Lonchura striata: one gene and its partners. The protein of the gene in region 3 interacts with the protein of the main gene of each other region in a pairwise test. Links are inferred from orthologs where the notes say so. Each region holds a gene or a part of one and is shown on either strand. Other genes may lie near its edges.

Region 1 (10,589 bases), on a different chromosome or scaffold from region 3:
GCCTGGGATGGTGGAAGGTATCCCTGCCCAAACAGGGGGTTTAATTATACAAGCTTTAACCCATTCCTGACTCAGTGATTGCCCCAATCCCGGCAGGTACAAGATGCTGATCCACATCCGGACGCACACCAACGAGAAGCCGCATCGCTGCCCCACCTGCAACAAGAGCTTCTCCCGCCTGGAGAACCTGAAAATCCACAACCGCTCGCACACAGGTCAGCGCAGCCCCCGCGCTGCGCTCACTGGGGCAGCGGGGGGCTCGGGGGGACACGGGGGACACGGCGGGGCTGGTGCCCCCCGGCAGACCCGGTGCTGTCCCACAGGTGAGAAGCCCTACATCTGCCCCTACGAAGGCTGCAACAAGCGTTACTCCAACTCCAGCGACCGCTTCAAGCACACCCGCACGCACTACGTGGAGAAGCCCTACTCCTGCAAGATGCCGGGCTGCCACAAGCGCTACACCGACCCCAGCTCCCTCCGCAAGCACATCAAAGCCCACGGCCATTTCGTGTCCCCCGAGCACCCGGAGATGCTCAAGGTCCACCCGCCTCCCAAAACGTCCCTGGGCTCGGCGGAGGTGCCCTACGTTAACGGGGCGCAGCTCGTCATCCCCAACCCCGCCGCCCTCTTCGCTCCGCCGGGGCTGCCGGCGCTGCCCATCCCTTTGGCACCGGCGCCGCTCGACCTCAGCGCGCTGGGCTGCGGGGCTGCGGGCGCGCTGCCCGCCCTGCCCGGCCCCGTCCTGCCCCTCAACGGCGGCCCCTTGAACTTGGCCAAGAGCCCGCTGCTGCCCTCGCCCTTCGCGGCGGGGCTGGGGCTGCCCGTCATGTCGCTGCTGGCCGGCGGGGCCAAGGCCGAGGGGGAGAAGGGCAGCGGGGCCGAGGGGCGGCCGCCCAAGGCGGGCAAGGGGCTGGAGAGCCGGAAGGAGAGGGGCGAAAGGACGGAGCCGGGGCGGCCGCGGGTGCCCCCCGAGAGCCTGGCGCTGTTGCCGGGGGCCGTGCTCGACCTCTCGGCCGGTGTCAGCTCGGGGGGCAGCCCCGAGGCGCTGCCCCCCGGCTGGGTGCTCATCCCCCCCGGCTCCCTGCTGCTCAAACCCGCCGCCGTCAACTGAGGGGTCCGACGATGCCCGGGGTCAGCCGCCGGCCCCGTGGGCAGATCCCGCTCCCTGGGGACGGGGGGGCATGGCCCCCTCCTCCCCCTGCAGCCCCGGCGGGGCCTCGCTCGTGCTTTTACCCGTCACGAAAGAAGAACGGACTCTTCTGAGAAAAGCAATAATCCCTCGGCGGCCGGAGCCGGCTGCGACCCCGTGCTGGGGGCAGGTGGGGCACAGGGGGGGTCCCCCTGCCCCCTCTCCCCCCCGGCCCTAGGCAGCCGGATACGCCGCTATTTATTTCTCGACCAGCCCCCTGCTCCGACGGGGTCCCGCTCGGGCTCTCCTGCTTCCGCTGACTCGGCGTCTCCCTGCCCGAGGCCTCGGTGCTGCTGCCGCCCCCGGGCTCCTGCCGCACGGACAGCGGGCTGACAGCCGGGGGACCGCCCTCTCCGCAGCCCCGAGCCGTGCCCGGCCGTGCCGTGCCGTGCCGCCCACCCCGCCCGGCCGCGGGCGGTGCCGCAGCCGGCTGGGCACTCACCGGCCCGGCGCCGCCCGCCTCCTCCCGCTCCCTCCGCACGGCCGCCCCGGCCCTCCCGTGACAAGGCACACGGCCGCGTGTGCTGCTCGCCGGGCTCGGCCCCTCTCTAGCTACGTTCATACCTAACCACGCACCGCGAGCTGATGCGGGCAGCGGCTGCCGGGCTCCCGCTCCTCGGGATGCGGCGCTGGGATGCTCCCGGGTGAGCCCCCGGCGTGGGGCGGCGTGCCCAGCCTCAGCGCGGGCGCAGCTCGGAGCCCCCCCGGGGCTCACACGCGTCCCGCTCGCTCCGAGCCGCGGGGGTCTCCCCATTCCCGCCCCCCGTGCTGAAGGAGCCCCGCCTGCCCCGCAGGGAGCCGGTCTCCCTGCCCTCACCGGCGGCCGCCCGGCGCTGCCCTAGCCCAGCATGGCTGCGGGCCCTCGACCAGGCCGCCCCGGCCGGTGAAACGTCTCCTCGCTCCTCATCGGTTTGTTGTTGCACATTCCAGGACATCAGTATTTTAACGGTCTCGAAGTGCCTTTCTATCGTAGTTTCTGGGTTGTTTTTATTTTCCTCCTGTTGGGCTCCATCGCTGTTAGCGTAGCGTGTAAGGACTGCGCAAGTACGAGATAAGCTAACGACTGTAACACTATATTCGTCCAGGGGAGAGGAAGTTTATTAAGAAAACAATAAAGTGAAGTTGAAGTAAGTTCCTGTTTCAGTCCGTGGCCGTGGTGCCAACGGCGCTGGGGACAGAGGGGTGCAGGGGGGGGACGGGTGTGACCTTGGGGGCACGGCTGGCCCTGCCTGACCCCCAGCCGTGTCCCCGCGCTCCTGCTCAGGCGGCCTCGGCACCAGTGAAAGCCTGCCAGCATCTGCGGGGTGAGCTGCAGGTGGGGACAGCCACAGCGTGTCTCCTCACCCCGAGCCAGCAGCCATCCACACTGGGAGAAGGTAACGGCACAGCACTCCCAGGGTACGGAGCCAGAGACAGCCGAGCACTCCATCCAAGAGCATCCAACCTCCCCACCAAAAATAGCTCCTGCAGCCTCCCCCAGTGCCATTTGAGCCCTGGCAGCCTCAGTGCCCTGGGGACACCCCTTCTTCCCCAGCTGCCTCCTCCTCCTCGTCTTCCTCCCCCAGGCAAACGCAGCCCCTCGCAGGGGCCGATCCTGCCGGGATCGCTGGGCAGGCAGGTCCCTGCTCCCTCCCCGGGTGTGGAGCAGCCAGGCCACGTGCTGGAGGAGACGGCGTTTATTGGCTACCTATAAGTTAAGGGTGAGGGGCACGGGGGGCAGGGGTGGCAGGAGTCACGTCTCGGCTTTCCGCCCCTTCTCCTTGTCGCCCTTGGCCTGGATGCGCAGCTCCTCGTCCAGCCGCTCCTTGGCTCTCACCACCTGTGGGACACGGGGTGACACACGGGATGGGGTGACACACGGGATGGGGTGACACACGGGATGGGGTGCCCCCTCCCCTCCATGCCTCATCCCTGGGTATATCCAGGCTCTGCCTGTCCCAAAAGCCAGACAAGGGAAGGAAGGTGCAGCCCTGCTCCTCCCGGCGCTCACCTTGGACTGGAGGTAGAAGGAGCCTCCCACTGATTTGTCGTTCACCTTGAACAAGTGGTCGTAGTTCTGCCGAGAGAAGCTCTGGGTCAGAGGCATCCCAGCCTTGCCATTCCCACTCCCAAACCTTGGCAGCCTCCCACTCCCCAGAGAATTGCTGAAGAGTGATCCCGGGGGACACGGCTCCTCTGCCTGACACCTCTTAGGAGCCCCCGTGTTCCCAGCAGGGCACCTCCAGAGATCCCATGTCCCTTCCCTGAGCAGCCCCGCTGGGCAGATGCAGAGGCCAGGTCTGGAGGGCTGCTCCAGCTGGGGCAGGGAATCCTCAAGCTGTGCTTAACTGAGCCCAAGACAGCACGGGGGACCAGCTGCCACCCCCATGCACAGCAGCACCCTTGGAGAGGCCAGGCCCTGCTAGCACCATCCCTGCCTGGCTCCAGGGAAGCCTCTACCTTCTGGATCTCCTCAGGGTTGAGGCTGGAGACGTTGAGGATCTGCTGAGCTTCCTGGAGGCTGATGCCGATGATCCTGGAGGCAGCAGCGGACTGGGGCCTCTCGGCGCGTCCCCGTGCATTGGCTGCGGCCTGGCTCGCTGGGGACAGCAGGGCCTGAGTCCCCTGCCACCCGGCCCTCAGGCAGCACAGCCCACGCACCTCCAGGTGCTCAGACCCCGGTGTCCCCCTCTGTCCCCATCCAGCCACCCCGGGGCCATCTGAACACCGTCCCAGTGCCAGGGAGGTGGCAGGGAGCAGGCAGGCACCGTTTGCCACAAGCAAGGCAGGGCTGGGGCTGCCACATCCCAGCGATTATCCCACTCTGCCCTTTGGAGTGCCTGGCAGCAGTGCCAGGATGAAGCCTGGTGACAACCTGGCAGTGTCCCCTGCAGGGGATGGGGCGCGCTGGGGTGCCCAGGGAAGGGTGGGGATGTGGAGCAGTGCCCAGCAGGGCAGCGTGGGCACACGGAGCAGCATCCCAGCTCCTACCTGCAAACTCCTGGCGCAGCGCCCGCATGAAGGCCCGTCCCACCACCTGGGCCCCCACCAGAATGATCTGTGCCAGGTACTTGGCCTGCGGGGACACCCTGCTGTCACAGCCACCGCGGCTCCTGTGCCCTGTCACCTCCCCTTGGGCCCTGCACAGCCCCACGGGCTCTGTCACCTCTCGCCATCCCCTGGGGCTCTGCTCTCACCCCATTGGACTCCTGTCATGGCCCTGTCCCCCCTTCTCTGTCCCTGTCCCCCCACCCAGGCCCTGCGATCTTTCCCAGGCTCTGTCCCCCCCCCAGGCCCTTTCTCCTCTCCCCTGTCCCCTCTTCGCTGGCCCCGCGACCCCTGCTCTGTCCCTGCTCCGCTTTCACTGGCCCTGTCCCCCCTCCTCTGGCCCTGTCCCCCTCCCCATGACTTCTTCCCCCTTCCCTGCTCCTGTGACCCCTTCCCCTGTCCCTGCCCCTCTCCCCTGACGCTGGCCCTCCCGGAACCAGCTGCCTGGCCCGCTCCCGAGCGCGCTGCCGCTGCCGGTCCCGGTGTCCCCCGTCCCCTCTCACCATGTCCCCGCCGCCGCTTCCGCCCGCGGTCACGTGCCCGGGGAGGGGCACGGCGGACACCGAGACGGCGGCGGCGCGGCGGAGCGGCCCGCCCGCGGCCACAGCGCCCTCTGCCGGCGGCCCCGCGCGGGAGGTCCTCCGGCGGCGGGGCGCGGCTTCCCCGTGTGCCCCCATCCCCGGAACCTGCGCGACCCCGGTGCCGCTGTCCCCCCGCTCCCCGTGTGCCCCCATCCCCGGAACCTGCGCGATCCCGGTGCCGCTGTCCCCCCGCTCCCCGTGTGCCCCCATCCCCGGAACCTGCGCGACCCCGGTGCCGCTGTCCCCCCGCTCCCCGTGTGCCCCCATCCCCGGAACCTGCGCGATCCCGGTGCCGCTGTCCCCCCGCTCCCCGTGTGCCCCCATCCCCGGAACCTGCGCGACCCCGGTGCCGCTGTTCCCCCGCTCCCCGTGTGCCCCGGTCCCTGTGCCCCCCACCCCCGGAACCTGCGCGACCCCGGTGCCGCTGTCCCCCCGCTCCCCGTGTGCCCCCATCCCCGGAACCTGCGCGATCCCGGTGCCGCTGTCCCCCCGCTCCCCGTGCGCCCCCATCCCCGGAACCTGCGCGACCCCGGTGCCGGTGTCCCCCCGCTCTCCGTGTGCCCCCCTGCCGCGGTCCCCGGGTCTCCCGGATCCCTGTGTTATCGCCGATTTCCGTGTCCCCCGGTGTCGGTTTCCATGTCCACCCGGGCCAGTCCTTGTACCCCCCTGCCTCGCTGCTCATGTCCCGCTCGGTTACCGTGTTCCCCCACTGTCGATCCTGTGTCACCCCGAAGCCCGTATCCCCCTGGAGCCTGTCCCTGTGTCGCCCCCGGTCCACATGTCCCCTTGTTCCCTGTGTCTCCCCCATTCCCAGTCCCCGTGTCCCCCCGGTGTCCCAGGATCACGGCAGGACACGGTGCTGGTGCAGCGGCTTTAATAGCGGGTCCTGCCCGCGGGGGGCCCTGCGCCTCCTCCATCTCTTCCTCCTCCTCCTGCTGCTGCTCGTGGTCGCCCCGGGCCGGGTGCGGGGTCCCGGCTCCCCGGGGGCGCGGGTCCCGCCTAGTCCTGCGGGAGGCCGGGGGTGAGCGGCGCGGCGGGGCCGGTGCGACCCGGCCGGGGGTCCTGGGTCCCCCTCCCGCACTCACCCACTCGTCCTCGTCCACGCCCTCGAAGGAGTCCTGGGGCAGCGGGTCGTCCCTGTTGCCCAGCCGGGCCACCATGGCACTGAGGAGCTGTGGGGAGAGGCCGGGCAGAGCCGTGGGGCACAGAGCATCGCCTCCAGACCTGGCGCAGGGTGCTCAGCCCAGAACTCACCTCCTCCTTCTTCTGCTCGTCGGTCTTCTCCTCCAGGTACACAGACGCAGGGACGAACTTCCGAGCGGGAGCCTCTTTGGGGGCCTCGCTCACTGTGGCAGTGGTGTCACCACGGGGCAGGAGGACTCTACCCCATTGACTAAAGCCACCCCAGCCACCCCTGAGGGCCGCGGGTCCTCGCCCAGCCCCTGCACCCACCTGGCAGCATGTCTGCGGGGCGCAGGCTGGCGCGGCGCTGCTGCCCGTCCTGCCCGTCCAGCCACGCACCGGCAGCCAGGGCCGGCTCCCACCACACGCGGGTCGGCGGGTAGAGATCGTCCTGGAAATACTCCTTCTATGGGGGCAAGGGTGCTCAGGGGGTGCCCTGCCTCCTTCCCCTCCCCAGACACGGCCAGCCCCCCTCGCCTCCTACCTTGACGCGTGGCACGTGGAAAGCCACGGGCTCCAGGGTGCTCTGCCCCAGGCGCAGCGCCCGGGCAAACTCCACCTCCCGCACCTCGCACGCCGTTTTGGGCAGGAAGACGAAGCCCTGGTGGGGTGGGGGTGTGAGTGGGGCCTGGCAGCACAGGTAGGGGCCCAGGGACAGGCAGCGTATCCCCCCTTTACCTTGTGGGGCTCATTGGAGGTGAAGCTGTTGCACTCGAGGAAATAGGGGGGCTCAGGGGTCACTTCATAGAGGAAGACTCTGGTGTCACCCTGGGGATGGAGCGAGATGGGGGCTGTCAGGGGACATGGAGGGTCCCTCCACACTGTGGGATGCTGTAGGCAGGGAGCCCCACTGTTTTTTGGAGGGCAAGCCCTCACCTTGCCGGTGAGGAAGACAACGCTGGTATCCTCATCGTAAAAGGGCAGGAGGGTGGAAGGGGCCACGTCCAGACCAAGGACAGACAAGGGTCCTTCAGACAGGGCCTGTGCCCGGTACAGGAGGATCCTCCTCTCGCTGCGGCTGTGGGGAGGTGACAGTGAGAGCAAGCAGCGTCCTCGGGGACCCCTGCCCTGGTGTGTGTCCCCCTCTTTACCTGTCAAAGCCGGACACCAGGAGGAAGTCACCACCACAAACCCAAACCAGGCGTGCTCCGCGTCCCCCCTCAGGACCTGGGCCCTCCTGCATGGGGTGAAGGTCACCCTGCCTGCTCCGAGAGAGCTGGGGGTGCAGTCATGTGCCCACAGGGAGGGTTTCCTGCCCACACCCCCAGCTCTCCAGTCTGTCCCCCATGCTGGGATTGTACCTGTTGAGGCTGAGAGCTGCGCCGTGGCTCATAGAGCCGTATCCGTCCGTCTTTGCTCACCGTTGCCAGCTTCTTCCCATCCGGGCTCCAAGCCATGCTGAAAATCTGGAGAGACAGACGTTGTGCAAAAGTCCCAAAGTTGCCTCTCAGGTGTCCCTGGATTTGTCATCCCTTACCTGATCCGTGTGTCCCCGCAGGCACAGGACTTCCCGCCCGGCGCTGAGCTCCCAGATCCGCACGGTCATGTCGTAGGAGGAGGAGACCAGGAGATCGGATGCCATGGGGTGGAAGCGGATGGAGTAGATCTTTTCCGTGTGACCTGGTGAGGTTCAGTAGTGCGTGGTTGTCCCCAGCTGTGGGTGCCACCAGGCTGCTTTGTCCCCACTTTGGGGTGCTCAACAGGCCCCTCACCTCGGAGAACGGCTTCAGGCTCCTGCAGGGTCTCCCGCAGCCCTCCCTCAGGGATCCGCCACAGCCGGATCCTGGCGTCCTCACCCGCTGTGCCAGAAGGGACGGGCAGTTGTTAATGGGGTGATCTGGAGTCCCTGGAACCGGGGGACTCTCCGGGCACACCCGGGCAGGGCTGGCACGCACGTACCGACAGCGAGGCGCCGTGGGTCGAAGGGGTCCCAGGTGAGGTCGGCCACCGCGGCGCCGTTCTGGATGGTGGGCACGGCCGCGTCGGGGAGGCGGCCGGGCTTGGAGAGCTGCGGGCGAGAGCCGGGGGTCACTAGCACGGCACACCCGGCGCCGCGCCGGCCTCCACACCTCCCCGGGGTACCTCGAGCACGGCGATCTGGCCGCCGGCGGAGAGCAGGGGCAGGGCGACGCGCTGCTGGTTGGCACAGAAGCCGTCGCACTCGCCCGGCGTGGTGAGGCTGAGCCCGCGCAGGTTGGTGAGGTGCTGGTCCCGGTGCAGCGCCCGGCCCTGCGCGTGCCGGAAGCGGGAGCTGGGCCCTGCAGCGGGCGAGGGCCGCGTGAGCGCCCCGAGCCCCACAGCGGGGCACCCCGAGCCCGCCCCGCTGCCCGCTCACCCAAAAGGCTCTGCAGGGACTTCTGGCTGGGGCTGCTGGCAAAGCCACTGGAGGGGCCGGTGCTGGCGGAGAGCGAGGTGGCCGCGCTGCCTGGCGAGGCCAGTGAGGATGGTGAGGAGTAGCCACTGGCTTCCTAGGGGAGAGAAAGACCAGACAGGGGGTGCTGGCACCCTCGCCTTGTCTTGTAGGATGAGGGCAGCAGGGACCCCACCCCTTCAGCGTTCAGCGCACTTTTCCAGCGCCCCATGCTCACACTCTGGTCTGCGTCGGTGTGGCCAGTGTCGGTGTCGGTGTGGCCAGCGTTGGTGGGGCCGGTGCCAGCAATGATGGGGGATGTGAAGGTCTCTGTGGGTCTCCGTGCAGGGTGCAGGCTGACTCTCCCCACCTGCACAGAGCACAGCGGTGAGCATGGGGCAGTGGCAATGCCACCAGCAAGGACACACCCCCCGGATGACACTGACCTGCTGGCTGTCCCCTGCCCACCAGCCTTGGGCATCGGTGGCTGGCAGCATCCCTGTGCAGTCAGGGAACAGATCCTCGTGGAACTCCTGGACAGACTGGGGGAGAGGGGGTGGGGTGAGACAGATGTTCTCAAAATCCCACAGCCTCTGTCCTGCTGTAGCTGGGGCACCTCTGGGCACCCCTAGACACTTCCACACCCAGACCCCACTACCCAGAACCCAGATTTCCTGGCTGAAGTGCCCAACACCCATTGCACAACAGCACCCAGCAGGTGGCACCCAGCTGTCAGCATCCACTCTCCAGCACCCCAATCCTGCACGCAGCGCCCAGCTCCCCAAATCCAGCACCCAGACTCTGCAACCCACCACCACCATCAATGTTTGACCTCCACTCCTGCTCTCCCCAGGCTGGGGACTGGGCTCTCACCACAGCCAGGTCCTTTTTGCCACCCAGTGCTGGTGAGGTGGCACCCATGAGATGACAGCAGGCACTGACGCCCACAGGGTCCCCTTACCTTGCGTGGCACCAGGTAGCTGACGGGGACGAGGGCGGTGTCAGTGAGCTGCAGGACACGGAGCACCTCGCAGGCCATGACATCCAGGGCCAGGCGTGGCACGGCTGCCAGGCCCCGCGTGCTGCCCTCTGTCCGGCACTGGGTCACTGCGGGACAGGCAGGGTGGCCGTGCTGTGGGTGGCCAGGCAGTGGTGAGTCCCCCAGGGGAGATATGGGTGGGATGGGACCTGCTTACCCTGGGTCAGTGCTGGCTGTGTGGGGGCTACCTCAAAGCAGTACAGGAGGTTTTCTCCCTGGAAAAGAGGTGGTAAGGACAGGGAATGAGCAGGGCTGTAGGAAGCACCCCACTGCACCCACATGCAACCTCCTGTACTCCACTGGTGCACCCACATGTACCAAGCTGCACCTCACAACACCCCCCTGCATCCTCCTGTCCCCCCAGCGCCTCCCTGCACCCCCCAGCCATGGCACCTCACCTTCCCCGCCAGCACCAGCAGTCCCGTGTCGGCATCGTACAGCGGGATGGTCACCCTGCAAGGGAAGAGGGGTGCTGAGCCAGGGGCCCCCGTGGGAACAGCACTCCCATGGATGTGGGGCTGGATGTTGTTCCTCCACTGGTGCACACCCCAAACCCCATCCTGGGGCAGCGTGGGGCAGGATAAGGCCACGCTGCGATGGGAGGGCAGCGCCGTGCCCGGGGGTGCAGGTGCCGGGCCGGTCCCCAGGTGACGACCCTCGCTGTCCCAGCCCGGGCCGACAGGTTGACAGCAGGATGTCACTGCCGCCTGCTTCCAGCCCCGGCTGCGCAGTGCCCAGCCGTGGGGCATCCCGCTCCTTGCCCTGCTCCCGGTGCCCGGCCATGGCACCCGGCCTCACCCGGGGAAGCTCCGGGCCCGCGGGGCTGCCCCGGGGCCAGCCGGGCCGGCTGGGCCAGTTCGGGGCGTCGGTGCCAGCTGCAGCGTGTCCCTGTCCCTGCCCTGCACCCTGCCCCAGAGCGCGCAGGGTGGCCGGAGGGGACCGCAGGGAACACTCGGTGACCTGAGGGGACAGCGGTGAGAGGAGCACAGAGACACTCCGTGCCTTCCCTCGGCAGGGCTGGAGGAGGGAGCGCCGCGGGCAGAGACCAAAGGGACAATCTATTACTTTCGGTTGACGTTTCTGTGGCTGTGCCAAGGGGAGGGAGCTGCTCCATGCCATGAAGGGTATCTGCGGGTGGTTTGGCATGGGCCTGCCCCGGAACTGTTGGCACAACCTAGGCAAACACTGCCAGGATGTCCGGGACAGGCACCGGGGTCCCCT
Region 2 (9,914 bases), on a different chromosome or scaffold from region 3:
AGTATTCAGCCAGCCAGTTCATAATATTCAGATAACCAGTTACAAAGACAGGTAACATTTCCCATTTAAACAGAACTCTTGATGCAGCTAATCGTTATATGCATAATGTGCATGGGAGCCATATTAAAGGGATGTTTTTATCCTTGAGTGGGGCTGTCTCATAGGGAAAACTGACTTTTTTTGACACTTACTGTTACTGTAAAGGTATAAGGGAGCAAAAAATACAGGTGTATTTGTGAATGTGAACATATCATGTTGTGCCCTTTTATATGATGGTACACAATGGGAATTTTTTATTGCTTATTTCTTCTTTCCTTCTTAGGGCTTGTTAAAATTACTTGAAGGCACAATAGTAAACGTTCCAGAAAAGAATTCTCGGAAACTACGTGGAGAAACAGTGCAGGTTGACACAACAAACATTCTGTTTGTAGCTTCTGGTGCTTTTAATGGTCTTGACAGAATTATCAGCAGGAGGAAAAATGAAAAAGTGAGTGCATCAGCCTGTGTCCAGGCTGAAAAATCATCATCTTGATTACTGTTCACAACACCGACTTTTACAGGTCTTGCTGTATTTGTAAACACACTAAATTTCTTTATTTCAGCAAATGGTGCCAAAACCATCATCATCTTAAAACACCTTGTCCTGCATTTCACTGTTTCATAGATTAATGTCTGGGGACAGGGTTCTGGCTGCAGCATTCTGACAAAATGTGCTCCCTGTCTCTAACACTAAAGGAGTGACTGTTTAAGTTATTAAGTTTAAGTTATTGTTCATATTAATTCATGTAGCTTCCCATGTAAGCAAACTTGCCTGCATTTGCTTTGCTTATGAAATGTCACTGATACTTGTAAAATGACCAGAACATGTTGATAACCTTCTTTGTTTTAAGAAAAAAATGGCTCTTGTTCTGATGTATTAATCCTTTACTGAGGAAATTCAATTTTGTAAGAACCTGATTGTATACAAGGGGTCTAATTTTACTCTTAAGTAGTTTCTTGAGCTCGAATTAGTATGTAATGACCTAACCAATCACTGCAGATTTTTTAATACTCACGGAGAGTAAGAAAATTCAGTTATTACAGTTCTCTAAGCAGAACATGTTTGTTCTTGCAGTACCTAGGATTTGGGACACCATCTAACATGGGGAAAGGCAGAAGGGCTGCAGCAGCAGCTGATCTTGCCAACATCAGCGGGGAGTCTGACCCACAGGAGGATATTGAGGAGAAGGATCGCTTGCTGCGGCACGTGGAAGCCAGGGACCTCATCGAGTTTGGCATGATTCCTGAATTTGTGGGACGTTTGCCTGTTGTGGTTCCCCTGCATAGCCTGGATGAGAAAACCCTCGTACGGATTCTCACGGAGCCACGGAACGCTGTGGTTCCTCAGTACCAGGCACTATTCAGCATGGATAAGGTTTGAGTTTTTATTTGATGACTCTTGGGTGTTCATTTTTATAAATAATGTTGTTTCAGTAATGCTTGCACTCGCCATGCCGAGTTATAAATTCAATGATTAACTGAACTTCCTATTTTTCTCTCTGTAGTGTGAATTAAATGTAACTGAAGATGCATTGAAGGCTATAGCCAGACTGGCCCTGGACAGAAAAACTGGTGCCAGAGGTCTTCGATCTATAATGGTGAGTAAATTAAGTCTTATAAACAATAAATGAAGCTTCTGGATTTGTGTGTATGGACCTAATCTTGACCATTTCCAGTTAAAGCCACACTTAGTTCTGGCCCTTACATGGATACAGTAAAGCTGTGAGTATTCAGAGTTCTTCCAAGAAGACTCTCTGAAAATCACTTGTTTATGTAGAAGAGGGCATAGAGTAATATTTTCCCTCTATTTTCTTGTAGGAAAAGCTGCTGCTGGAGCCCATGTTTGAAGTGCCCAATTCTGACATCGTATGTGTGGAAGTTGACAAAGATGTTGTAGAAGGCAAAAAAGAGCCAGGATACATTAGGTAAAATGGTAACAGAAGTAGCAGAACAGACCAGTAATACAACTAGACAGGTATTCTGATGGAATGAGCACAAATCAGTGCACACAACTTAAAAAAGATTCAATGCTCTGTATATTGTACACAGCTGAATTAGTGCCTGTTCTGTCCTAGAGACTTTGGATTTGTATTGCTTTCACTTTTAAACAGAAATGTTAAAATAAACATATATGAAGTTACTTTCATGTGTGTATACCTGTAGAAATGGAAGTAAATTTTAAGGTAACAGTAAAAATTTTAAATTCAGTTGTGACTGTACTGAAATTTCTGAAATGAAACTGTTTCTTTCTTCCTACTTTTTACCACAGATGTGGGGGTTTTTATACAAGCTCCAGGCTGCAACAATTTTCTACATTACTCTTGCAGCAGTGGAGAGCCACAAAGGCACATTTATTGATTTGCTGAACTCTTGTTAAAATAATCAATTTAATGTTGTAAAGAGTACGGTAATGATGTAGAATGTTGAAAACATTGGACAAATCTGCATTTAAAAAAAAAAATCTAACCATTTCCATGAATGAAGGAGGGAATTGAGAGAGAATGGGTCAGGTTAAAACTGGTTAAAAAATTAATTTCTGAATTTCAGGCCTGAAATTTAGGAACTCTGTCTTGGTTTCTATCACTGACAATGTTGTTTGAATGGCTTCCTCCACTAAGGTACTTTTACTCATTCCAGCACCTTGTCTGTGCTGAAGCTTGGCTCCACCTTGTGTGGTTGGAGGGAGTGAAAATGTATTACACTGATGGTTGCTTGAAGTAATTCTGTATAGCACCAGAAATACTAAATGTTATTGATTAAATCAAACAACTTACTGAAAGTCAGGCTAATTGAATTCAGCTAATGAGCCTGTGTGCTGGTGGCACTGCAAATGTGCACAGCAGCATTTCCAGATCAGAAGGTCAGAACTTTTGTCACGGGGCACTGTGCATGTGACATGTTTGTCAGAAGCTATGGAAAAGTATCTGATCATTCCTTCCAATCCTAGGGCTCCCACCAAGGACTCATCAGAAGAGGAGTATGACTCTGGAGTGGAGGAGGAAGGCTGGCCTCGACAGGCAGATGCTGCAAACCATTAAACACTGTCAGAACTCTCACCTGCAAAAAGCTCACTCGGTTCTTTCCTTGTGGCTGCCTCTGGCTCCAGCCTGTCCCCAAAGGCACCAGATCTGTCTCGGATACAATTCATGATGAGGACCTCCATTAGCTAAATCAGATCGTGTATTTTATTGCAGCATCACATTGATTTGATGGACAGAGTGTGGACTGGGATAGCATAATGTTCAAATATGAATTGTATATTACACTTGTTCAATTAAAATGTATAGCAAATGCAGCAGCACCTGCACTGCCCTTGCCAGAAACTAAACCAGCAGCACAGGTGCTGCCAATAGTTAGATTTAACAATAATGTTACTCTACAAGTGGGAAATCAAAATTAATAATTAGTAGAGGGTGCGTAAACTTATCTTAGCTCCTGGTACAGCTCACAGGGGGTTATGTTCAGGTCAGTGTTAGAGTCCTGTTGGTGTGTGTAACCCAGCAGGCGCTGGAGTGGCTTGTTACATTGGTGGGGGAGGAAGCCCTTGTGGAAAAACTGGGACACACTTTGTGACACTGCTGGGACATCCTGCTAAAATGTGACACTGGTTTGTTACAGTCATTTGAATATCCAACAGTAATATCCTTCACGTCTCCATTGGGAGCTTTAATCACCTTGGATGCTGTGAAAGAAGGTGAAGTCTGGTTTTCCAGAGGGGTAAAGATTCCTAGGAAGCAGTAAAACCATCTAAATTTGGATGAGAAGTCAATATAAATTTTTAAATATTAATGTTCTAATATAGTACATTTTGTTTAACGTATTGGAACTATCATGCATCAATTTTTTGGTGCCAGGTATTTGCCCAACCTATCTTATAATGTTAAGAGATGAAAGAAGTAAATGTATAATATTTTTGCTGTAATCAGTAGTGATTGTTCACATGACAGTGCTTTTTAAGTTATATTCTCAAATGCTAGTATTGCATCTTGTGGATTTGTCTTTGATTTTAGTCTCACAGCAAGAAATCTTCCCTCTTCTGTTCTCCATCAAAATAAATTCAATCCTTTAGGAAAGCCTTTGTAAAAACACTAAAGGACCTGTATGTTTTTGATATGTTTCAGGAATTAAAATCGTCACTTAAAAGTTTTTGTCCTTTGGTGAAAATGTGGACTTGAGCTTCCCTAAAACTTTATTCACACTATTTAAATAAAACTTTCATCCTTCTTTTTAGTCTAGTGGCTGTTGTAGGACAGGAAAGGATACTGAAAAATCTATTGACCCTATTTTTGTTATTAATTTCTGTCATGTAAATTCTATGTAATACTTGTGTTCTTCCCTAGCAGCAGTGTGACATGCAGTTGTAGCCGGGTGCAACAGATACTTCCCGTGGGATTACAGATTTTTTTTCAGGTTAAATGACCCAGTAATGGTTCAGAAAAAGCTGTGTTTGGAGTCGAGGATATTTCTAAAAGCTTGGTCCCTTCAAAATGGGAGTTTGTGGTGAACTATCTGTAACTGCATCTTCACTTTCCTTTTTGTAGAGTGAAAAAACATAACAGCTTTTAATTCTGAATCCTTTAATTCAAATCCTTTTTTTAAACAGATAGAAAAGACACCACATTTTAGGTGAAACTGTTCAACAACTTAGTTTTGAAAGTTGTTTGGAATTCTGTAACCAAGAACTGTTTTTAAGGAAACAAAAATGCCATGTAATTACAGTTTGTACTTCACCTCTGGCGTTTGAATAAAAGCGAATATTCAAGCAGTAGCGAGTTGTCATCCCTGACGCCATCCCCAGGTATTTCGAGTTTTAGGAACTTAATTTTTAAGCGGAGCGAGAGGCGGGTGGGGCGGGTCCTCCGGGCCGCCAGGGGGCGCTGTGGCCGCGGCAGCACTGTCATGGCGGCGGGCGCTGAGGGCTGCGCTGAGGCGCTGAGGCGGCGCTGTCGTGGCGGCGGGCGCTGAGGGCTGCGCTGAGGCGCTGAGGCGGCGCTGTCGTGGCGGCGGGCGCTGAGGCGCTGAGGGCTGCGCTGAGGCGCTGAGGCGGCGCTGTCGTGGCGGCGGGCGCTGAGGGCTGCGGCGGGATCATGGCGCAGCCGCCACCTTTCCCCGCCCGCCTCCCGCCGCCCTTCCGCGCCTTCCCGCCGCCCTTCCCCGGCCCCGCCGTCCGCCCAGCGCCCTTCGCGGTGGGGCCGGCGGCACCCCCGCCTTTCTTCTTGCCGCCGCCGCCTGCGGGTGAGGGGGGACCGCGCTTCCCGCCGGGCGTCCCCTACTTAGCGGCGGCCGCGCCGCGGGCAGCGGCCGAGGAGGAGGCGGTGCAGCGGCAGCAGGACGAGCTGTGGCTCTCGCAGTTCCTGGGCCGCCGCCGCGCCGCTCCCCCGCCGCCGCCGCCGCCCGCCGCCGCCAGCCCCAGCAGCGCCCGGGCGCTGGCGGTGGCGGCGCTGCGCCGGGTGGCCCGGCTGACCGCGCTCTGCCGGGCCCTGCGGGGCAGCGAGCAGCGGGGCGACGAGCCGGGCTGGGCCCGGGCGCGGGAGGAGGCGGAGGCGGCGCTGCGGGAGCTGCGAGAGGTCGTGAGGCCCCTGCGGGAGCCCGGGTACGGCGAGGCGCTGCGCAGGAAGGCCGAGAGGGCGAGGAAGAAGAGGCTGCGCCTGCAGAGGAGGAAGCACGAAGCCAGGGCGGCCAGGGAAGAGGAGGCGGCCCGAGCCGCCGAGCGGGAGGCCAAGATCGACCAGTGGCGGGCTAAGTGCATCCAGGAGGTGGAAGAAAAGAACCGGGTATGGTCCCCAGTGCCTGGTCCTGCCTCTCCCCGGGGCTCCAGGACAGCGCGGTGGGGCAGGGCTGACCCGCCGGTAGTGGGGTCACGGCGGGCTGTGCCTGCCCCACACCTGCCTTTGACTCCCTTGCTTCACTGAGGTGCTGCACGACTTCAGCCTACTGAGAGACGTGCTGTTTCCAAGGTCTGCAGCCCTGCTTCTTGCTTAGAAGTCTTGGTGGGCATCTCGGTTTTGCCATCCTCATATTCTACGCCTTGACATGAAATTGGGGTTTAAGTTGTTTCTGAACTCCTGGAGGTTTTCCTCTCTGGTCCCAAGTGTCAGCCTGTCCACACAGCTACCCTGTGGTGATCCGTGCTGTTTCAGTATCCATCAGCCTTGCTTCCTGCTTTCATCCCTCTAAGGCTTGTGGTTTACAAGATTTTTGATCTCATGGGGAAGTAAAACATCTCCAAAGCAAAAAATACCGCCTCAAATTAGACTGGGAAGTGCTGTAGGCACCTTTCTGTTTGTTTTTGGCTAAACTCCCTTTTCTGCTGTTCTACTGCTGGGATGGTCCAGAGCAGCTGCTGAGGAAGGGTTTGTGGTCAGACTGTGGCAGGTTAATGGTCTTAATTGCAGAACTGTGGAATTGGGATGGTTTCTGTTTATTGTAAAGTATTTGCCCTAAATTTCTCTGGTTAAAGGTTCTCAGGCTTTCATAAATCATTTAGGAAGTGTTCAAAAATGTGTGGATGTGGCACTTGAGGATATGGTTTAATGGTGACCATGGTGGTGGTTCTGGGTTGACAGATGGACTTGATCTTTCCCAGCCTTAACAACTCCATGATTCTGTGATTTGGCCCAGATTTATAAGTCCCACAGCATTATTTATTTCTTTTCTGAAGTCTGTGGTATTTTAGCCTTTTTTCATAAAAAGTCAGGGCTGGATGGTTGACTTGACTTGTTTCTGTTATTGTGAAGTCACTCTGCTCTTCAGTGCTTTGCTAATGTCTGAAAATACCATTTTATTTGCGTCTTTGAGGAATATTTCACACATCTCATCTGTTTTTTTCCTTCCTTGCCTAGGAGCAAGAGCTGAAGGCTGCTGCTGACAGTGTCCTGTCTGAAGTCCGGAAGAAACAAGCAGACACTAAGAGGATGATGGACATCCTGCGCGGGCTGGAAAAGCTTCGGAAACTGAGGAAAGAAGCTGCTGCCAGGAAAGGTTCATTACGAGATTGGTCTAAACTTTTATAATTGCACACACAGGAAATAAGATGAGGGTGCCCTGTGCTGACTAGCAAGGCACAGCTTCAAAAAGCTGTGTCTTCATTGTGATTTTAATTACAAGAATAGGTACAAAGTGCTGGTTTCAGTGGTTGTGTTCATATGTTTCCAAGCTCTTTGTGGAAGAAGGATTATTCCAGTGCGAATTCTGTCTGTTAACAAGGTTAAGCTCATGTTCCTCTGCCAGTTTGCAAGCTCTGCTCTCAAGTCTGGTATCAAGCCCCCTTCTGAATCTGAAAACTTAAAATCACTTCTGTTTCTGTTTAGGTGTTTGCCCACCTCCTTCAGCAGATGAAGCATTTGAAAATCAGGTGGAGAGTCTCCAAACATTGCTCAAAACTCGCACAGAACTTTATGAAGCTGAGGAAAGAGCATTAAGGGTTATGCTGGAGGGAGAACAGGAGGAGGAAAGGAAGAGGGAAATGGAAAAGAAACAGAAGAAGGAGAGGGAAAGACTACTACAGCAGAAACTGGAAATTGATTCTAAGCTGTTTGGGGATCCAGGTAAATTCTGCCTCCTGTTCTTAACAGTGTTTTTCCACATCACATCCCCATCTCACAGACACTGGATTTGAAATGCAGGCACAGATCTAGTTGAGAAAGGAATCATCCACTGGAGTAATTTGTGGTCTTAGAATGAGGGATAAACATAGTTCTGTTAACACCTGTGGTGTAAGAGGAACTGTTGCACTCTTCAACATGGACTGCAGCACTTCTCAAGCTGGTTTCATGTTGTTTTGCAAGAAGAGGTTGTAGATTAAACTGAAGTGAGAATAAACAGAATAGATTGAATACTTCCAGAACCATAGATGCTTTAAGCTAGTGCTTTGGTAAGTGTAACTCAGGTAATCTGTAAAGATTCAGTATTCATATGTTCCCCTTTTTTAGATGGTGGAGTCAGGAGGTTTTGCTAGTCTTGGCTTTCCTCTGACAGCTGTGGTACAGAGCAGGAAATGTGTAACACATAAACAGTGTTTCATATATTACTTATGGACCTGATGTCAGATTACATCTGGGCAGTAGCAAATGATTTTGCAAATTATGGGCTAGAATGGAAGGTTTTTCTGGATTATTAAACAATTTCTGTGTCTGTGTTTTTACAGCTGAATTCCCACTCGCCCATCTACTGCAGCCTTTCAGAGACTACTACTTACAAGCTGAACATTCAGTAGCAGCTCTAATCCAGATCAGGTAAAACCAAAGGAAGTATTTTATCATCAGGGAAGACAAACACTGTTTTTTGCAATTGTAAATTCAGTGCCCCTTTTGGTTTGTCAGCTTCCAAATATGGTTATGCAATGGATTGTTCTGGTTTTTTTCAAGTTTCATGCTTGAGTCATATCCAACAGATGCCCATGTGAGGCAGAGTGTACTTCCATGCATAACCATTCCATTTAACACCAGAACATTGAATTTTCACATTTGTCTTTTGAAAAACAAGTTTAAGAGTACAAGTATTGTGGATTTTGTATCGATCAGTAACGTCTATGTGGGTGTGGAAGTCTTACCACCAAATTAATCCCAGCTCTCCTCTCAAACAACACTTTCTCTGTTAAAGGCATGAATGGGATCAATACCTGGTGCCAGCCGACCACCCCGAAGGAAGCTGCATCCCTCCAGGATGGGTTCTCCCAAGTCTCCCCACCAATGACACTTGGGCCACTGCTGTCAGATAATTTCGCAATAAATTATTCCAACGTTGGGGGATTGTTTCGTTATAATTACGTGTAAATATGAGAGGGTCCAAAGAGGAAGTCTCGTCCTCTGTTTCAGCAGCCAGGTACTGGAATGTCTTTACTGCAACATCTTGAAAAAAAGTTTTAAGAATTGTTTTTGCTGATTGGCTGTGCAGGGAGATAGCTGAGCAAGCCCAGAGCTGCCAGGCCTCTCATGGTGTGGAATTACATTCCAGCTGCGAGTTCGTGTTAAATCTCAATCTTAATAAAGGAACATTGCTGATGGTGGTATTTGTGCCAGTATTAACATCCTATTTTTAGTGGCTATTATCTTTATAAAGGATGATGAAAACTTCAGAAATGAAGAAATTAAAAAAAAAAAAGAAGAGGTCATTAAGTAAACATGTTTTTCTTCTGAAATGAAGCATGACAAGCATCACTGTCAAAATAATTCCTGTATTTTGGGGTGTAGAAACAAACCTATTGCAAGTTTAAACTAATTCTAAAGTACAAACAAGACAGGGTTTCTCAAGGTTGATTAAAGCAGCTGTTGACATTTTACTTTTGTGGACTAAAGCTGATACCAAAACATGGAAAAAATTCCCAGTTGTGGTAAAATAGGTCAGACAGCCATGTGAATAAATACAAATTTGATGAATAAGCCTGCTGGAAAAAAAAACCTAATAAAATCTGAGGTCTAACCTACTGTGTTTTGACTATATAGATATTTTTGTATAGGGACATATAATCTCTATCATATTTGATTAAACATAACAGCTTTATTTTGTAAGCTGGTTGTTTTGTACAGAACAAGTAGAGAAAAATGGATTTTTGTTTAAAGCATTTTCATGCTAGGGAATAGATTTGTTTGAATGCTTGCATCGAATACAACTCCAACAGGGAGAGAATTGTTGGGAAAAGGTTTGTGTGAAGGAACTCCCTCCTGCAAAGTGACAGAGGTGACACCTGATATCAAAGCTTTCCATGTTCTGGACAGTTTGCTTGGAACTGTGATGGGCCATATGGATTTGGAGCTTTGCTGTTCTGCACAGATTGCTGTGGCACCTTTCCAGAGCTTCAGTCCTTATTCTTGCTTAGCTCCAGTGTGTGGGAATCGAGTTAATCTCTCCAGTGCTTTGCCTCTGGGCGTCACAAC
Region 3 (9,991 bases):
CAGCTTTTGCCACCTCTCAGTTACCCCATCTCTGAGTCACAAAAGGGCTTATTCTGACACTACATCACTACTAAGCAAGTAGCCTGTAAATATCAGTAATGTGCTGACAATACCCCAAAAATGTGAGTGGTGCCCTGATGGCATCCCAGAAGTATCTTACCATGACTTTTGTAGGGCCCTTGTAGCATCTTGGAAGTATCCTACAGAGAGCTGCACTTTTATCCTGAGAAAGCTGACTCTTGTCCTGGCAGCACCTCGGGAACTTTGTGATAATATCCTGGTAGCATCATGGTAGTACCAGTAATGTATCCTAGCAACGACCCTGTAGTATCTTAGTAGTGCCTTGTCAGCAATACTCATTAGCATTAGCAATACATTTACAATTAGCAAAGTGTTGCTTTGGAGTGTTAGCCTGATAATACCTTAGCAACATCCTGATAGTAGCTTTGTGCTGCACTGAGAGTATCCTAGTAGCAGTCAGCATTGAGTAGCTCAGCACTGTCCTGATGTTGTACTAGCACAGGCAGGAATATCCTGATTCTGTCAGGAGCATCCTGGTGCCCTGATAGTATCACAGTAGTAGATAACGAGTGTCCTGATAGGATCCTAGCAGTGGTGTCACGGGACACAGCTGTTATCCTCAGTGTGCTGGTGGCACTTTGGTAGCACAAAGAATTATCCTGATATTTTCTTACTGCCCCGTAACTACACTGAAAGCAACCTGCACGTATCTTGAGAGGAACCTTGTGTGAGCTGCTCCAGTGGTACCTTCCTACGAGTGCCTCAGTATCAGCTCTGGAAGTATCTTAGTAGCAGCCTGATGGTACATTAGCAGAGCTTTTGCAGCATCCCAGTAGTATTTACAGAGTATCCTGGGAGTACCTTAATGGCACTCTGGAAGTGCCTTACTGCTGTCTGCAGAGTAGCCTGCCCGCATTCTAGTAACCTCAGAGCATCTCAGCAGCACCCTGAGAGCATCTCAGCTGTGTCTTGATAGTATTTCACTACTCCCTCAGGAGATTACTGAGAATATCCCAGCAGTAGCCTCAGAGGAAGCAAGGAGTAACTCAGTAGTAAGCCCGGAGCAGCCCAGCAGAGGTGGCAGCACCCAGGCCTGGCCATGCTTCCCTGGGGAGGGGAGCACAGACATCCCAGCTCTGGGGAAAACCTGCCCTGAAAGGGTGTTGGGTCACAGCCCTGTGCAGCACCGCCGCAGCCCATGCACGTGTGCCCCCCTGGGTGCCCCCAGCCCTGCAGCACACGCCCTGAGCATGCACACCCTGCACGTGTGCACCTGCAGGGGAGCCCAGCCCTGCACACGCCTGCAGCACTCACACACACACACACACACACGGGACAGGGCCTGGTGCTCCCTGTGAACATGCATGCCATGCACAGAGATGCAAAGCACGCACACGGAGCGGCGCATGTGTGCACAGAGTGTCTGCACACAGGTGCATGTGTGCTGCAGCGGTGCACAGGCGCTGGGCTGCACACACTGCACAGGCAGTCACCCTCACGTGCCCCGGTGGATGCATGCCCTGTCCCATGCAAGTCTGCACGCACACACACCTTTGCAAGCATGCATTCCCACCGTGTGCATGAGTGCACACCTTTGCACCCCCAACGATGTCCGTGTGTGCACGCCCATGCACTCATGCATCCCCACGTGCAATGCCATGCACACACACAGAGTGCACCCCTGTGCATGCCTGCATCCCCTCGCATACATTATGCACCACTGTGCACTTGTGCATCCCCACATATGCACCATGGAGCCCGACATGCTCACAGCACCCAGCTCCAGGCCCCACAAACACCAGCAGCACACACCTGCACACACCTGCACACCCACGTGCCTGCACGTGTGCCCCTGCAACTGTACACACACACCTTCACATGCACACACACTCCTGCATGCACATGTATCTGCACGGACACACAGCCCTGCACACACATCTGGACATGCACACACCTGCACACACATCTGCACACACACACAGCCCTGCATGCACATCTGCACACACACACAGCCCTGCACACACATCTGGACATGCACACACCTGCGCACACACACACAGCCCTGCACACACATCTGGACATGCACACACCTGCGCACACACACACAGCCTTGCACACACACACAGCCCTGCACACACATCTGCACACACACAGCCCTGCACACACATCTGGACATGCACACACCTGCACACCCACACAGCCCTGCACACACATCTGGACATGTACACACCTGCACACACACAGAGACCTGAACACACATCTGGACATGCACACACATCTGCACACACACAGAGACCTGAACACACACACACATCTGCACCCACACACACTGAGCCGGACATGCACATCACTTGCACACACATCTGGGCACGCACATCCCTTGCACACCCGCACACACCGAGCAGCACACACATCCCTTGCACACCCGCACACACACCTGGGCACACACATCCCTTGCACACACATCTGGGCACGCACATCCTTGCACGCCCGCTCAGCCCTGCGCACACGCACACCAACACGCACACGGACCCGCCCTCGCTGCGCTCGCCGCCCCTCCCTCCGCCGCTCCCCGCAGGCGCACCCCCGCGGCCCCACGACCCCCAGAGCGCCCCCGCAGCGGGCGAGCACCTCCCCGGCCCCGCACGGCCCCGCACGGCCCCGGCCCTGCCCGCAACATCAGCCCGCGCTGCCCCCAGACCCGACACCCCCGCAGCACCGCATCCCCGTGCGACCCCCCCGCACCGCCTGCAAGGGCAGCATCGCCCGCGCTCCCCAAACCCGCATCCTTCATGGCCCCCCCCAAACCCCGCATCCTTCATGGCCCCCCCAAACCCCGCATCCTTCATGGCCCCCCCAAACCCCGCACCCTTCATGGCCCCCCCCAAACCCCGCATCCTTCATGGCCCCCCAAACCCCGCACCCTTCATGGCCCCCCCAAACCCCGCACCCTTCATGGCCTCCCCCAAACCCCGCACCATTCATGGCCCCCCCCAAACCCTGCACCCGCCTGCAGCCCCGCATCCTTCATGGTCCCCCCCCAAACCCCGCACCCTCCTGCAACCCCGCATCCTTCATGCCCCCCCCAAACCCCGCACCCGCCTGCAGCCCCGCATCCTTCATGGTCCCCCCCCAAACCCCGCACCATTCATGGCCCCCAAACCCCGCACCCTCCTGCAACCCCGCATCCTTCATGCCCCCCCCAAACCCCGCACCCGCCTGCAGCCCCGCATTCTTCATGGCCCCCCCCAAACCCAGCACCATTCATGGCCCCCAAACCCCGCACCCTTCATGGCCCCCTCAGCCCCGCACCCCCCTGCAGCCCCGCATCCTTCATGCCCCCCCAAACCCCGCACCCTTCGCGGCTCCCCCCAGCCCTGCACCCGCCTGCAACTCCGCACCTTTCATGGCCCCCCCCCCAAACTCCGCATCCTTCATGGACCCCTCAGCACCTGCAACCCCGCACCTTTCGCGGCCCCCAGTCCCGCACCCTCCTGCAGCCTCGCATCCTTCATGCCCCCCCAAACCCCGCACCATTCATGGCCCCCAAACCCCGCACCCTTCATGGCCTCCCCAGCCCTGCACCCTCCTGCAACCCCGCACCTTTCATGGCCCCCAAACCCCGCACCTTTCATGCCCCCCCCCAAACCCCGCATCCTTCATGCCCCCCCCAAACCCCGCACCATTCATGGCCCCCCAGCCCTGCACCCGCCTGCAACCCCGCACCTTTCATGCCCCCCCCAAACCCCGCACCCTTCATGGCCTCCCCAGACCCGCACCCACCTGCAGCCCCGCACCCCTGACGCCCCCAGCCCCGCATCCCAGACGCCCCCAGCCCCTCTGCACCCCCATCCCCGCACCCCAGACGCCCCCAGCCCATCCCCGCACCCACCTGCAGCCCCGCATCCTCCGCGCCGCGCCGGGGGTGCTGCGCCCGCACTGCGCAGGCGCGGGGCGGGCCGGTGACGTCACCGGGCAGGGCGCGGGCGGCGGCCGTGACGTCATCGCCCATCCCGGCTCCGTCCGTCCTTTCCCGATCCCCAAAATCCCCCGAGCCCCGCCGGGGGCTCGTCCTTTGTCCACGCGGCTCTGCGCCTGTCCGCGGCACCGAGGGAGAAAATGCATCCATGGAAATGACTACGGAAATGTACAGATGGGAAATAGAAATAAAAGATGGCATATACGGCAATGTAGCCCAAGATTTTTTTTTTTTTCCTTTTATAAAATAAAACAATTAAAATTATGACATAAAAATGAAGCGAATTACAAAATAAAAAAACCGTATTTTTCCTATATTTTTCCTCTCAAAAAACATAATAGTAATCACAAGAAATGAGCAGCTTTTTATAATAATATTCTTTCAGCTTTTTGTCTTAAAATTTATTAGCAATTTAAAGAATTGCTTTCGATGAATGTTGTTCTGCATGCTGTGGGTTTTTTTTTTCTTTTTGAAATCTGGGTTTAGTCCACAGCCAAGTGGGATGTCTGACCTTAAGCTCAGTTTCCCCGATCTTGACAGGCCCTGCTGCCTGCAGCTGCCTGCTCCCTCTCTGTGCTGGTTTTCCACGCAGCAGGGCAGGAGAAAGGTTTCTTCTCTGGCACATGGCTTCAAGTTGTTCACATTAAGGAAAAAAACCTCAAAAGAGTCTGTGGAATGGTTGTTGTTAAAAATCTAATGAGATTTTGCCAAGTCCTGGCTGGAGCAGCGCGTGCTTTGGCTCGGTGCCGAGGAAATCCTCGAATCCCAGAATGGTTTGGGCTGGGAAGGACAAGGACCCTGAAGCTCCTTCTGTTCTCAGGGCTTGGACCAAGTTGCTCCAAGCTCTGTCAAAGCTGGAGCTGAGCACTTCAGGGGATGGAGAAGGTCTGTGGCACACAGATAGCAGGGCCTCCCACCCTCACAGAGTGGATGTCTTCCCAAAATCCACCTGACCCTGCTCTCCATCACTCCCTCGGTCCTGTCCCTCCACACCCGTGCCCCAATCTCTTGGGTGGTCCATGTGACATTAGCCAAAGAGGCAGGATCGATCCTTCTCACACCCGAACCAACAAACTGACAAAATAATGACAATGTCCTGCCCAGGGGCCAGAGGAAACGCTTGGCCAAAGAAAGAACAACAGTGCCCAGTGTTTACAGGAATTAAAAATTCACATTCCTGACTCAACACGGCAAGGACCAAGGCAGGAGGGTGCATTTTTGGGTACCCGATGATTGGGGGATGGAAATGATGATTGGGGAGGGGATGGAAAATGGTGTCATCTGGTAGAGAAGGAGAAAAGAAAAAACAACAGGGAGAGGAGAGGAGAGGAGAGGAAGAGGAGAGGAGAGGAGAGGAGAGGAGAGGAGAGGAGAGGAGAGGAGAGGAGAGGAGAGGAGAGGAGAGGAGAGGAGAGGAGAGGAGAGGAGAGGAGAGGAGAGGAGAGGAGGAGAGGAGAGAGAGAGGAAGGGGAGAGGAGAGGAGAGGAGAGGAGAGGAAGGAAGAAAGAAAGAAAGAAAGAAAGAAAGAAAGAAAGAAAGAAAGAAAGAAAGAAAGAAAGAAAGAAAGAAAGGAAGGAAGGAAGGAAAGAAGGAAGGAAATTCCCAGTGTGGAACTCATGTCAGAAGAATAATAAAGCACCAACTGTTTAGCTTGCTGCTCTGTGGGACTAATCACCCCACCTACAGGGGCACCCAGCACCATTCTCCCCTGTTCTGCTATTTTTTCACTTCTATCTTCTCACATTCATCTCTCCTTATTGGTGAAAGTGGAGTGGATAAAACTAAAGGGGAGGTAGCTCACTTTGGAGCCTCTGCCCTGCGTAACTGTCTCAGATTTGGACAACACTGCAGCTGGGGCTTTGGGAGGGTTCTGAGACTCAGCTCCTCCCCAGCAGCTGCATCTCCACTGTGCCCAGTGCCTGCCTGGACACCAGGGAGTCCAGGAGCTTCTGGAGCTTCTCCCAGCACTGGGGGAGCTCCAGAGCTGCACCCCGGGGTCACAGCACAGCTGGGCTGCACTGGTGCCTCTGCCCCGTGCACTCTGCTCCAGTGTGGGAAATGGATTTGTAGAAAATTGTGGTTAAAGCTGACAGGTCAATAAACGCTTCTAGTGTATTGTAATCAGGAAATGGTCGGCTTCCGATTGTGATGGCGTGAATCATAACATCTGTATTCTCACCCTTCACAGGTGACTGAAAATGGAATGGAAGTTTTTAAACACCTCTCACTTGGCCCATTTCTGGGTCAGCAAAGGTCATCACCCAACACTCCTGCGCAGCAGGGAAGGGCACAAAGGAGCAGCTCCGAGCCGGGATGGATACAGCCAAGAGAAGGAGCCGAGGGGGCTGGGTGGCCCCGGGCAGCTGGGGACAGCGGCCAGGGACTCTGCCAGGAGCAGCCGGCGGGCAGGGGAGCGCTCCCCCAGACTCGCCTGCTCTGTCCCCGTGTCCCCACTGCGCGTTTCCCCCCGTGTCCTGCCGTGTCCCCCTGTGTCCCCTCTATATCCCCCCATGTCCCCACTCTCCCGGGTCTCTCCCGGGTCTCTCCCGGTTCTCTCTCGTGTCTCTCCCGGGTCTCTCCCGTGTCTCTCCCGGGTCTCTCCCGGGTCTCTCCCGTGTCTCTCCCGGGTCTCTCCCGGTTCTCTCCCGTGTCTCTCCCGTGTCTCTCCCGGGTCTCTCCGGGTCTCTCCCGTGTCTCTCCCGTGTCTCTCCCGTGTCTCTCCCGGGTCTCTCCCGTGTCTCTCCCGGGTCTCTCCCGTGTCTCTCCCGTGTCTCTCCCGGGTCTCTCCCGTGTCTCTCCCGGGTCTCTCCCGTGTCTCTCCCGGGTCTCTCCCGTGTCTCTCCCGGGTCTCTCCCGCCGCGTCCCCCCATGGCCGGGCAGTTCCCACGCTCGCGGCTGCCACTGAGCGGCCAAACCGCGGAACTGCAGCTCGGTGCCCCGCGGTGCTCCCGCCGGCGGCGCCGGCAGCAGCGGCCGAGCCCCGGGAACGGGTGACCGAGCTCCGGGAACGGGTGACCGAGCCCCGGGAACGGGTGACCGAGCTCCGGGAACGGGTGACCGAGCCCCGGGAACGGGTGACCGAGCACCGGGAATGGTGTGACCGAGCACCGGGAATGGTGTGACCGAACCCCGGGAACGGGTGACCGAGCACCGGGAACGGGTGACCGAGCACCGGGAGCGCCCGGGCTCCCGGGAGCACCGAACCCGGGAGCTGCGGGCGGTGATGCCTTTCCCTCCCCTTTCCCACGCCGCCGCCTTTTCTTTTTTCTCCCCTGTACCTGCTTTTTCCATTTCGCTCCTTGTCCCCATCTTTTCGGTCCTCCCCGGCTCTGCCCGTAGCTGTTTTCCATTGCACCGTGTTTTCTCTCCAGCTTTCAGGTTTTATTGCATTTCCCCCCGTGTGTCCTGTGGCCCCTTGGTATTCTGCTGTGTTCTCTCTGTCTGGTTTGTCACTGTTAATCCAAATGTTCCTTCCAGACCCTGTAGCATGTCGCGGGGGGATTTCTTTCACCGTCTTTATTCTGTACTCTGTCTCTCTCTTCGAATTCCTCCTCCTCTGCTCTGTCACCCACTGACTGTGCAAAGAGAAGTCCCAGCATTTCTCCCGGGCTTTCATGTGGAAAAAAAAATTTGGAAAATCAAGGGAAAAACTGAGAATGAAGGGAAAATCTTAAAACTTAAAACACAAAATGCAGAAATATGGAAATGAAGGGCAGAAACTTGAAAGAGAAAAAACCCCAGAATAAAAGGAACCCTGGAGATAAAAATTGGAAAATCTTGGAAATTAAGTGGAGGAATTGGAAATAAAAAGGGGAAAGCTAAGAAAGTAGAACACTAGAAAATAAGGGGTAAAGCTGGGAAAAAAGGTGTAAAATTTGGAAATAAAGGGGGAAATGGGAATTAGAGAGGAAAAAAATGGAAAATGAAGGACAAAACTGCTAAGGAGGAGAGAATTTGACAACAAACTTTGTAGGGAAAAGAAAACAGAAAACCTTGGGAACAAAGTGGAAAAACTCAGGAGCAAAGAACACTGCCAGGAAAGCAGCTCCTCACCTGAAGGGGATGGTGGATGGCACAAGGACCCCCTGAACAGAAATGGGGACAGGAATGCTGGATTCCTCTCCTCAGGGACCAGGGTGATGATACTTTGCAAACATCAAACAAGTTTTGGATGTGTTTAAACTCAAGGATGTGTTTAAACTCAAGCTTTAACACTAAATAATCTCACTGTGGATTCTTACGGCACGTTCCATCAAGAGTTTTATTAAAAATAAGAAACAAAAGAGTCCAGTTTCTCCCATTTTGGCTCCAGGCACCAGAAGTTTTCCTCATGCCACAGCCCAACTCCCACAGGCTTGGGCGTGGGGATGCTGCTGTGCTGGGGCGCTGCTGCTCCAGGGTGCTGGTGGCCATAGGGTGATGGCGTGGCAGAATGGGGGTGGCCACTGGGTCTGTGGGCTGGTGGCCTCAGCCCCTGGCCACTCCCCAGGACACAGGGGGCTGGACTGGGGAGCAAGGCGAGGGTGGTGGGGCCTTGCTGCTTCACCTGCAGGATGATCCCCTGCGGCACCTGGAGAGGATGAAAAATAACAAAAAAAATGAAAACATGCCCTAAATCTGCTGATTTTTAACCCACAAACTGCTTGAGGTTGGTGTGAATGTTTGAGGAGGAAGGGGTTCCCTGGCCCTGCCACCAGAGGGAATGAGGAAGGACAAGAAGGTTCAGATTTAGGGATCTTTGAGGGTTTTCCAAACTTAAGGACTCCAGGATTTTGAAGAAGGTGCTGCAGAGCTGTCCCTCTTGGGGTCTGAACCCAGAAATGGAGGTGTGTGCTCCAAACCCACAAACAGGGGCTAAGGAAGGAGGTGATTCAGCCAAATAAAAGCTCAAGTATTGGGATCTTTGTCCCCATTGCTCTTCACCCTTCCCAGAAGAAAGATCAGAAGAAGGAAGACTAAAACGGTAGGATTAAAAGGAATGAGAATAAAAGATATGCAATTAAAAGAATTAGCAAAATTAAAATCCAGAGGAATTTAAAGAAACAGAAATGAGACTAAAAGAACTAAAAAAAAAACCCTGAAAACCAGAACTTCAAACCACAGAACTTCAAAAGCATGTTGGGAGAGGACAGAAGTGACCCTGGAGAGGATGGAAGTGACCTAGGGAGAGTGGAAGTGGCTTTGGAGAGGGTGGAAGTGAGCTCGGAGAGGGGTGGAAGAGGCCCTGGAGGGATGGAAGTGGCCCTGGAGGGATGGAAGTGGCCCTGGAGGGATGGAAGTGGGCGTGGAGGGGATGGAAGCGGCCTTAGAGTGGATGGAAGTGGCCCTGCAGGGGATGGAAGTGGCCCCGGAAGGATGGAAGTGGCCCCAGAGGGATGGAAGTGGCCCTGGAGGGATAGAAGTGGCCCTGGAGAGGGTGGAAGGGATTCCATTCTGGAGAGGATGGCAGTGGCCCCGGAGGGATGGAAGTGGCCCTGGAGGGATGGAAGTGGCCCTGGAGGGATGGAAGTGGGCGTGGAGGGGATGGAAGTGGCCCTGGAGAGGATGGAAGTGCTCTGGAGGAGATGGAAGGTGGACATGGAGGGGATGGAAGGTGGACATGGAGGGGATGGAAGTGGCCCTGGAGGGGATGAAGTGGCCCTGGAGGGATGGAAGTGGCCCTGGAGGGGATGGAAGTGGGCGTGGAGGGGATGGAAGCGGCCTTAGAGTGGATGGAAGTGGCCCTGAAGGGGATGGCAGCGGCCCTGGAGGGATGGAAGTGGCCCCGGAGGGATGGCAGTGGCCCCGGAGGGATGGAAGAGTCCTTGAAGAGGATGGAAGCAGCCCTGGAGGGATGGCAGTGGCCCTGGAGGGATGGAAGAGTCCTTGAAGAGGATGGAAGCAGCCCCGGAGGGATGGCAGTGGCCCTGGAGGGATGGAAGAGTCCTTGAAGAGGATGGAAGCAGCCCTGGAGGAGATGGAAGTGGCCCCGGAGGGATGGCAGCGGCCCCA

What was found.
Region 1: the proteins of FEZ1 (region 3) and PAM16 interact in a two-hybrid assay, tested with the Homo sapiens proteins (2 studies listed by BioGRID and IntAct). The link is inferred for Lonchura striata from reciprocal best matches to the Homo sapiens genes FEZ1 and PAM16.
Region 2: the proteins of FEZ1 (region 3) and PDCD7 interact in a two-hybrid assay, tested with the Homo sapiens proteins (2 studies listed by BioGRID and IntAct). The link is inferred for Lonchura striata from reciprocal best matches to the Homo sapiens genes FEZ1 and PDCD7.

What each region holds. Positions count from the first base shown.
Region 1 is NC_134618.1:3,696,973-3,707,561, reverse strand, and holds PAM16 (mitochondrial import inner membrane translocase subunit TIM16), read right to left. Parts: upstream 4,789-10,589; 5' UTR 4,723-4,788; coding exon 4,720-4,722; intron 4,245-4,719; coding exon 4,160-4,244; intron 3,769-4,159; coding exon 3,629-3,768; intron 3,246-3,628; coding exon 3,180-3,245; intron 3,009-3,179; coding exon 2,922-3,008; 3' UTR 2,266-2,921; downstream 1-2,265. Other genes in the region: zinc finger protein GLIS2, read left to right, coding at 97-215, 324-1,111; CORO7 (coronin-7), read right to left, coding at 5,797-5,802, 5,883-5,969, 6,052-6,143, 6,250-6,385, 6,464-6,580, 6,658-6,747, 6,856-6,997, 7,071-7,156 and 11 more. UniProt on the Homo sapiens protein: Regulates ATP-dependent protein translocation into the mitochondrial matrix. Inhibits DNAJC19 stimulation of HSPA9/Mortalin ATPase activity.
Region 2 is NC_134613.1:21,930,833-21,940,746, forward strand, and holds PDCD7 (programmed cell death protein 7), read left to right. Parts: upstream 1-5,126; coding exon 5,127-5,813; intron 5,814-6,881; coding exon 6,882-7,020; intron 7,021-7,349; coding exon 7,350-7,586; intron 7,587-8,185; coding exon 8,186-8,273; intron 8,274-8,640; coding exon 8,641-8,758; 3' UTR 8,759-9,463; downstream 9,464-9,914. Other genes in the region: CLPX (ATP-dependent clpX-like chaperone, mitochondrial), read left to right, coding at 323-487, 1,115-1,414, 1,545-1,637, 1,858-1,964, 2,987-3,077. UniProt on the Homo sapiens protein: Promotes apoptosis when overexpressed.
Region 3 is NC_134625.1:3,083,727-3,093,717, forward strand, and holds the start of FEZ1 (fasciculation and elongation protein zeta-1), read right to left. Parts: upstream 4,017-9,991; 5' UTR 3,914-4,016; intron 3,049-3,913; exon of another isoform or gene 3,032-3,048; intron 1-3,031. UniProt on the Homo sapiens protein: May be involved in axonal outgrowth as component of the network of molecules that regulate cellular morphology and axon guidance machinery.